2 linked regions of the Nothobranchius furzeri genome follow. The protein of the gene in region 1 interacts with the protein of each later gene in a biochemical or structural test. Links are inferred from orthologs where the notes say so. Each region holds a gene or a part of one and is shown in the gene's direction. Other genes may lie near its edges.

Region 1 (4,526 bases):
TCCAGTTCCATTTGCTGTCGCGCTCTTTAGTGTCAGTGAGTTTTTGGTTTGATCTGATGATTGTCTTTTTTTTAAAGGTGACATGAGTTCTCGTAACTTCAAGCCAGAGATCAGAGTCAGCTCGCTTCGGTTTTCTCCAACCGGTGGGTGCCAAGTAACTCACAGGGCCTTACTTTATCATTTTAAGTCCGATCTAAAACGATTGACCTGGTTCCTCCTGTCAGGTCGAAGCTGGGCCGCCACCACCACCGAGGGCCTGTTGATCTACTCCCTAGACGGGTCTCTGGTCTTCGACCCATACGATCTGGATCTGGACGTGACGCCGACCAGCATCCGAAAACAGCTGCGCCTAAAGGAGTGGATGGCGGCCATTGTCCTGGCGTTCCGACTCAACGAGAACGCCCTGAAGCAGGAAGTTCTGGAAACGGTGCCGCACGATCAGAGTGAGTGGCTTTAAAAACCGTCGGCCAGGAGAGTTTGGACCTCTGACGCCTGACTGAGTTTGTGTTTCAGTCCCGGTGGTCTGTGGCTCTCTGCCCGACGTCTACGTGGAGAAGCTCCTGGGCTTCGTGGCCGATTGTCTGGAGAAGTCAGGTCACCTGCAGTTCTACATGACCTGGGCCCAGAACCTGCTGATGCTGCACGGACAGAAACTAAAGAACAGGTCGACACGGCTGCCTCGACTCGCATCATCATTATCATCATCAGTGTCTTAACTGGATCTCTTATGGTCCGCAGGTCTGGCTCGGTTCTGCCCACGCTGCAGGCGCTTCAGAAGAGCATCCAGAGACACTTTGACAACCTGTCAAAGCTGTACGTCTCAACACTGTTGCTCCATTAATCATCATAACTAAAATGAAGCATTAAGTCATTAAATATATATATTTATATATATTTTTTTTCCACAGCTGCAACTTCAACATGTACAACATCCGTTACGCTGTGGCGCTTTCAAAGCAGAAGTGTGTAAAGAGGCCTGCCGAGGAGGAGGAGAAAGAAGAGCAGGATGAAGGGTTGTCGGAGGAGATGAGCGAAGCCTCTTTAGATGACTCAGAGATGATCTTGTAGTCTGATTACTAAAAATGTCTCAGATTGACAGATGTTCAACTGTAAAAGTCCATTTTTCCATACTTTAAATATTAAAATAGCCTGTTTTTATAATAAATTCAGTAAAAGTGTCTTTCTTGTTTTTGGCTTTTTTCTGGTAAATTTATTCATTTGAGAGGCTGCTACGGGTTAATCTTTCAATTTGGCACGCAAAAAATATTTTTGGAGTTATTTCTTACTTATATTAGAAATTTACACTTAAAGACTGAATTGCCATTTGTGGTTAAAACTAGCTTTGCTGGGCAGTATTAAGTCAAAAGAAGTATTTCTAGAAATATAAAAGAACAAATCTAAAATATTATTTTTATTTAATACTAACAAAGGTAAATAGTACGACATTTTCAAGGAAAAAATACATTTTTACAGCTGAAGAATGTGGAAATATTGCCTTGAAATGTCCCAAGTTACTGTGTTAGACATTTAAATGTACAATTTAAGAGCAGAATGTATTCTTTTTAACAAATAGGTTGTTTAGGGAGTTAAAAAAAACACGGGATTTACTATTTTTAAACCGATCTGAATCCTGTCCAAAGTGAAATAAAGCAGAAAACTCAAAAAGTGGAAGCTTCTCCGTCAGTAACTAAACGTGACCAACAGGGGGTGACAGAGCGCCTTCTGAAAGTTCACCTTGCCTTAAATTAGATTGAAGAAGAAGGAACAGCGGGCGGGTTAGCCTTCGGAGCTAAAATGAGAGACAAGAGCCTGTCTGAAGCGGGAAAAGAATTACCGGCCAAAAAACAAAAACTAAGCAGTGACGAGAACAGCAACCCCGATTTGTCAGGAGACGAGAACGTAAGAGCTCTATAAACATTTCTGCAACTACAAGTGAACGTTTTAGCCGGTTAGCTCAGCGCTAAAGCAAGAAGCCGGAAAGCTAAAGAGCTTAGCTAGCTGGCATCTTTGTTCACCTGCAGCTGTGGTTCTGATGGTGGTAATGGCTCTAAATCAGTCTATGTGACCCACAGAAGCATGGGCTTTTATATTTAACCTCAAAAAGCCTGGCTTGTTCGATTTAGCTTCAGCAGGAGTGATTTAGAAGCTTGTATTTATTTACAAATTCCTAAAATAAGTGTTCAAATGCAGTTTATAATGTTTATTTTTCATTTTGAGGAAAGGAAAAACTTGCTGGTAGTCTGTTTTTCATGTTAAAAGTGCTTCAAACATTTGTTTCACTTATTTCTGTCCAAATAAAGCCTAGGTTTACTGGTACTTGTCCAATAAAATGAATGTGGTTAGGTTGGGTGTTTTGTTTTGGACATCTTGTCTTTCAGTAACCGCATCTCTGGTTTACAGGATGATGCGGTCAGTGTTGAAAGTGGGACCAACACTGAGCGTCCAGACACCCCCACCAACACCGCCAATGCCCCAGGCAGGAAGAGCTGGGGCAAGGGCAAGTGGAAGTCCAAGAAGTGCAGATATTCTTTTAAATGTGTTAACAGTTTAAGAGTGAGAATGTCTGCTGTTCTAAATACATTCAAATATCATCATTTACAGAATTTAGTTTACAGGTGAAGTGGGAGTGAAACTTTGTGGATATTTTTCAGGAGGACCATGGCCAGCCACTGTTTGGAGTCCAGTTTAACTGGCACAGTAAGGAAGGAGACCCACTGGTGTTCGCCACAGTCGGGAGTAACAGGGTAACCCCAAGCAGACAGATTTTATTTGGCTTTTTCTGGGTGTTTTCATGAATTTTTCTAGTTCAGAATCAATTTTCTGCTCATCAGTTCCATATCTTGCATGATAGAAAGATGGTGATGCCTTTCAAGCAATCAGACGTCCTTTTGTGTCTGATAAGCTGCTTCAAGTGTCCTTAATTTACTGTTACAGAAAATAAGAGATTTGACAAATTTTAAAGAATGATGATTATTCAGGACTTTTTTCATTAAAAATACACATTTCTTGTTGTGAAAAACATTTAGTTTTACATAAATGATATTTCTGATTTCTCTAACAGGTAACCTTGTATGAATGCCACTCTCAGGGAGAGATCCGACTGTTGCAGTCGTACGTTGATGCAGATGTATCCTTCCTGCTTTGGCTCAAACTAAACTTCACAAAAAGGAATCTGTTGTTCTTTAATTTAGATACAGATCAGTAAATGAAGATTTACAGATATGTTAACCCTTTAAGCGCCAAAGTCGCAGAATTGCGACAAGCAGCAATGTTGGATTTAATAAGCCACAGCAGCAGAAATGAGCCCTCATGCATGGGGAATGTGGTGGCGGTGATCGGGCCGTTGAAAACTCTGCTGGTGATCAATTCAGCCCCTGTCTATCAGCTATCCTCTATTATCTATCTATATCTATCATCTATCTAGCTATCATCTATCTAGCTATATAAATGTGTGTATAATAATAATGATTATGATGACAGTAAAAGATGTGTTCAGCAAAGGAGGTCAAGTTCACCTTATCCAGCTAACAGAGTTCAGATAAACATAACTTCACATGTTTTTGACGCATGACCAAAGCTTTCTTCCTGAGAGAGTGGGTGTGTCCTGTGAGTTTGGTAAAACTAACCATTATAGTAACCATGTGTGTGTGTGTGTGTGTGTATATATATATATAACAATTATAAACCAAATAAACTATAATTAAAGAAGGGATGAGTGAAATGTGTTCATGACACTGAAGCACCAAAAACAGTGTTCTTGATTGATACGCAGTAAACATAACAAAATACCAATAAAGTAATATGTGTATATATATGTATATATATATATATATATACACATACATAGTTATATACATATTCCTATGTACACATATATGTATCATAAACAATAACAACACTAAGAAAATAAGACAAACAAATCCGCAAATGTGATGCAATCCAATATGGCTGCTATCTGATGATGTCATAGTATGAAAATTGTGTGAGTGAATTTGTTCCTATCACAAAATTTGGCTCATACTGAAGATTTTTCTAATTTACAATATTCCTCTATCTCTAACCAGATTTAAGCTACAAGCTCTTTAAGTAGTGATATGAAAAACTTATATTTTACTGAAAAAACTATGGCGCCTAAAGGGTTAATCATCTTTTTCTCAACATCTATTTTGGAAAGACCCAAGAGTTGATCAGTAGCTGCAGAAATGTCAGAAACTTTTTGATTTCTGCGATTTTCTTGACTGAACGCGTTCCAAGGCAGATGAGAACTTCTACACGTGTGCTTGGACCTATGACACCAACACCAGCCACCCGCTGTTGGCTGTAGCCGGGTCCCGCGGCATCATTCGGGTCATCAATCACATCACAATGCAGTGCATCAAGGTAGTCTTCCTGTAGAGAACCTCTTTGAAAATGTGGCTTTGAGGGTCATTTAGTAGTGTGTTTGTTTCCCATCCAGCACTACGTGGGTCACGGGAACGCCATCAACGAGCTCAAGTTTCACCCAAGGGATCCGAATCTTCTCCTGT
Region 2 (4,325 bases), on another chromosome or scaffold:
TCATTTCCTTCTGCTTTAAAGAGAAACTAAAAGTATGGCAGCTTTACTTTTTCTATGACAAGACCGAAGCCTATGACCCTCAAACCCACAGTTTACAAATCAGAAAGAGAAAATAAGCAAAGCGTCAGTCGAATCTGGCTACTTATTCATCCCTTTTCTGTGTTAAACTCTAGGTGCTGAATCTTTGTAACAAATGCTGTAGGAGGCTTGTGGTATCGCTGTTTCCAAACCAACATTTCAAACTTTTTCAAAACTTTATTTTTTGGGTCTTTACTGAGAATTTGCAATTTGGAGTTCAGAGACCTCCAGTGGTTTCTTTAGGAACTTTAAATTTTATAAAAGCCACATTTTTGACAAATACATGTTAATATCTCTTAAAACAAAAAGGACATTTTTTTTTCTTATTTGAAACATTAAAAAACACCAAACAAATTTTTAATGTTAATTTTTTTTAATGAACATTTCTAAATGGACTTTGAGATAAATCCTTGTTGGTTAAACAAATGGCCTGGTTTTATCAAATAATAAAATAGTGGCTTTTAAAATTATCATCTGAATGAATCTGCTCAAATGTCTTGGGCTACTTAAATTATTCAAACAGAAAACCGTAAGTCATCTCAATCTAGATGTTCTTGTAAAATATTGTTTTTGTTTTGTTTTTGTGGAAAAGGTAACTTTTGCAATTTAGCCCATCCTTCTGTCAAAAGGCACTACCTTTGGATTGGCCACAGTTGTAAGAAATACTTTGTCTTGTTAAATAAAGGTTAAAAGTTTTAAAATAAAAACATCTGGCTGTGTCACACAAAATGCACTAAAAAGCTGTTTTCTAGGGGTGGCCATGGCCACCCCTGGCCACCCTTGGGGGCACCCTTGCGTGTGCTTGATTTGTGTTTTTGTTGGGCTGAAGAGAAGCTGCTTAAGTAAAAGTAAAATTTGTCACCTCCATCTGTCTGAAACATATAAACAGAATCAGTTTACATTAAACAAAACTATGTTGTTATGATGTACATTATCTTTCCAGTATAAAGAAAAACTTATCATTTAAGGTCTATTGTTTTAATATTAACAGAATTGGACTGAAATTATATAATTTGTTTTTATTTAATCATTATTAGGTGAGTAGCTGTTTCCGCCCCTGTTGCGCGTTAATGTTCTCTTTTGATAACAAATTGCAACTTTACACACAGTAGTAGATTTGTGATGATAAAATTAGTGTTTTTTATGAACTATAAATGTGACTTACCTGAACTTTTTTCTTTATTATTTTTAGTAGACTACTTCATACTAACTCTAAAACCCGAATTTAATCATAAACTCAACAATATATAAGTTCCACACACAACCACATCTATAAATGCGAAATATTAGCTTGTTTTTTGTACTTTTACTTTTTTTTAATATGGCGTGGTCTATTACCGGACTACATTTCCCAGCATTCCTAAGCGACAATTACCCAAAATGCATCGTTAACATGTAGAGGGAAGATGGCAGCTAAAACAAGCAAAGACGGTCCACCTTTTGACTGCCCATCATGGTGAGAAAATGCACATGTTGAAGTACTAAAATACCAACTGCAGCGCTTGATTATGTGCAAACGAGCAAAACGACGTTGTTACGTTAACAATTGTAACTTTTATAGAGGAAAGAAGTTCGTTAGCGTTAGCATCCAATCGAGCTAGCAGGCTAACCCCTCCTACAAGGCTAGCCTAAATGCGGATCACGGTTTGCTTTCTGCTTGAAAATGAATGAAAGGCTTGATTTTAAAAGTTTCTCACCTAGTTGAAACGTATAGAGGTGACAGCAGGACATTTTTTGACAGATATGCTCTTGAAGTATTCGGTTCGAGTGAAAAGAGCTAAATGTTTGAATAAATGAATTAAAATTAGATTATAAAATGGTTAAATATGCTGTAAATATATTTATGCACTGCTGTATTTTCTGAGATCAGTTCAGTGTTTAAATAAGTCTCTAATTGTTTCTTATAGGGGAGGAAAACCGCCCACAGGACTGCACTTAGACGTGATGAAAGGAGACAAACTGGTTGAGGTAACTGGAAATTTAAACTGTTATTTAGTTTGGACTCTTTAAAATCAGCTTTAATTATCTCAGTTCTATTTAATTTCTAAGTTAAAAATCCAGATTTGTTTAATCTCTTAAACATAAGCAAATTCCACAATAAAATGTCATTCCTTATTATTTTAAACATCTAATGATTCTGTTTTCCACATAGCAGAACACACATGTGATTGTTACTATTGTACAAATGTTAAAAGCACCAGATACAAGCCTGACAGTCTGCTCCGCCCTGTGCGTGTTGCACAATGGGGTTAACCTATGACTGCATGGCTTCAAAAGGTGCGAGAACAACATCAGCCCTGAGATTTAAGCCCTTCAGTGGAAAGCAACACTGTTGAGTTATAACTCAGAGGCACAAATGCATTAATGTACGCCATTACTAATTCACACCATCCGTTTCTCCTTGTAGAAACTGATCATAGATGAAAAGAAGTTCTACCTGTTTGGTAGGAACCCCGACTGGTGTGACTTCACCATCGACCATCAGTCGTGCTCGCGTGTTCACGCCGCTCTAGTCTACCATAAACACCTAAAAAGGCTCTTCCTTATAGATCTTAATAGCAGTAAGATTTCACAAACACTTTAATTATTTCTCAGTCACTCTGCTCTTTTAATGTATTAATCCTAATTATTATTATTTTTTTACAATTTAAGCACATGGTACCTTCCTCGGACACATTCGCCTTGAGCCTCACAAGCCTCAGCAGGTTCCAATCGACTCTACAATATCCTTCGGGGCGTCAACACGTACCTACACCATCAGAGAAAAACCCCAAACCCAAGGAAGCGCTGGCACCGGCGACAGTAAGACAGGAGATGAGGAGGAGCTAAAAGGACTGCTCGGGCTTCCGGAGGAAGAGACAGAGTTGGAGGTTTGTTAGAATTCAGATCAGCTCCACTGACTCGCCGCTTGTTACTCTTGACTTGTTTTGACATCCTGTTTTGCGCTTGTGGCATCTTAATGGAATTATTTGTATGCAAATTAGCCACAGTGTGAAATGATCTCAGTGTGTTTGGTTTTTTAACTCACTCACTGCCAGCCGTTTCCTGATCACTTACCCCCAAATTCCACTACCTCCGCTCCGACACGAACGCCGGAGCAAAATCGGTCCCGTTGTAGTCAATCAGAGCAATTCCACTACTGCGGCCGTGCTCCGGCAATGCGGCGCAGTGCGCTGCCCTCTGTTCCGGCGTCCGGCAAAAATAGAATCGATCCTATTTTCGCCGGACGCCGGAGCACCTCCGCAGTAAATGGACAGAAATCACAACCGCCCAACAGGAAAAGGAGCAAGCACAACTTCCGTTTTTCACAATAAATCGATAAAAAAAGGCGTTTTTTGTTTCATATGCACAGGTTTAACAACTTTTAACAACTATCAGTGGCGGCTGAAGTTTAAATGCACAAAAGTAAGCCATAAATACAGTTTCTACTATCAAAGTAGTCACACTTTGTTCATCCAAACACTGCTGATCTCTCAACACAAATGATGGGCAGATTAAACAGTTCATGCCGATGCTTCTCCCACACAACGGGTGTTTGGATCTAACTTCCGCGTTTATTGCTCGGACTGTATCGCAAGATCTCGAAAATCCCGTGCATGCTTGTTTGCCCACCTCAGGTCTCCGCACCGGAGCGGAGCCGTTGTAGAGCGGGTACCAGTAAAAATTGAGTTTGGAAGCGAGCGGCTGCGGAAGGCGGGGCGGACCGGACCAGAGCGGAATGGAGGTAGTGGAATTTGGGGGTAACGGCCTTCGCTGCCAGCGTTTCTCACCATTTTTATGATTTTTTTTAAGAGTCACAGAACGTTGCGCGCTAGCATGATGTCAATGCCAAAACAACCAAAAACAAAGAGGAGACTCACCTCTTACATCAGGAAGAAGCCGTGTGTTTCGAGCATTATCCGTTCTTTCATAATCCGTTGTCGAATTGTGATCGGCAGACGCTTTTCCGGTTCGCGCCTCACTTTTTTTTACAGGAACGGCCCAAAACGATCTCCTAACACATGGATGTTCTGCTTCCTGATCACGTGATATGTGACGTATGCGGATGAAGATCAGCTTCAGGGCTGAGATGTTTGTTCTCTCAGGGCGGGGGCTCGTGCCGATGCTCAAACAGTAAAAAAATGCAAATGACGACGTCATTGGCAGTGAATGAGTTAACTGCACCACATTTTTTCCCGACATCTCCAATTTTCTTTTTTTTTTTGTTTGTTTGCTTTTTACTGTTGATTTTTCAGCATTTTGACTTT

Evidence for each region.
Region 2: the proteins of eed (region 1) and ppp1r8b form a complex in vitro, tested with the Homo sapiens proteins (2 studies listed by BioGRID). The link is inferred for Nothobranchius furzeri from reciprocal best matches to the Homo sapiens genes EED and PPP1R8.

What each region holds. Positions count from the first base shown.
Region 1 is NC_091743.1:86,053,058-86,057,583, forward strand, and holds the start of eed (polycomb protein eed), read left to right. Parts: upstream 1-1,725; 5' UTR 1,726-1,794; coding exon 1,795-1,899; intron 1,900-2,400; coding exon 2,401-2,553; intron 2,554-2,651; coding exon 2,652-2,744; intron 2,745-3,061; coding exon 3,062-3,127; intron 3,128-4,254; coding exon 4,255-4,380; intron 4,381-4,456; coding exon 4,457-4,526. Other genes in the region: pwp2h (PWP2 small subunit processome component), read left to right, coding at 78-143, 225-443, 514-664, 739-813, 909-1,068. UniProt on the Homo sapiens protein: Polycomb group (PcG) protein. Component of the PRC2/EED-EZH2 complex, which methylates 'Lys-9' and 'Lys-27' of histone H3, leading to transcriptional repression of the affected target gene.
Region 2 is NC_091745.1:72,000,234-72,004,558, forward strand, and holds the start of ppp1r8b (protein phosphatase 1, regulatory subunit 8b), read left to right. Parts: upstream 1-1,278; 5' UTR 1,279-1,484; coding exon 1,485-1,534; intron 1,535-1,985; coding exon 1,986-2,046; intron 2,047-2,270; exon of another isoform or gene 2,271-2,436; intron 2,437-2,485; coding exon 2,486-2,639; intron 2,640-2,730; coding exon 2,731-2,948; intron 2,949-4,325. UniProt on the Homo sapiens protein: Inhibitor subunit of the major nuclear protein phosphatase-1 (PP-1). It has RNA-binding activity but does not cleave RNA and may target PP-1 to RNA-associated substrates. May also be involved in pre-mRNA splicing.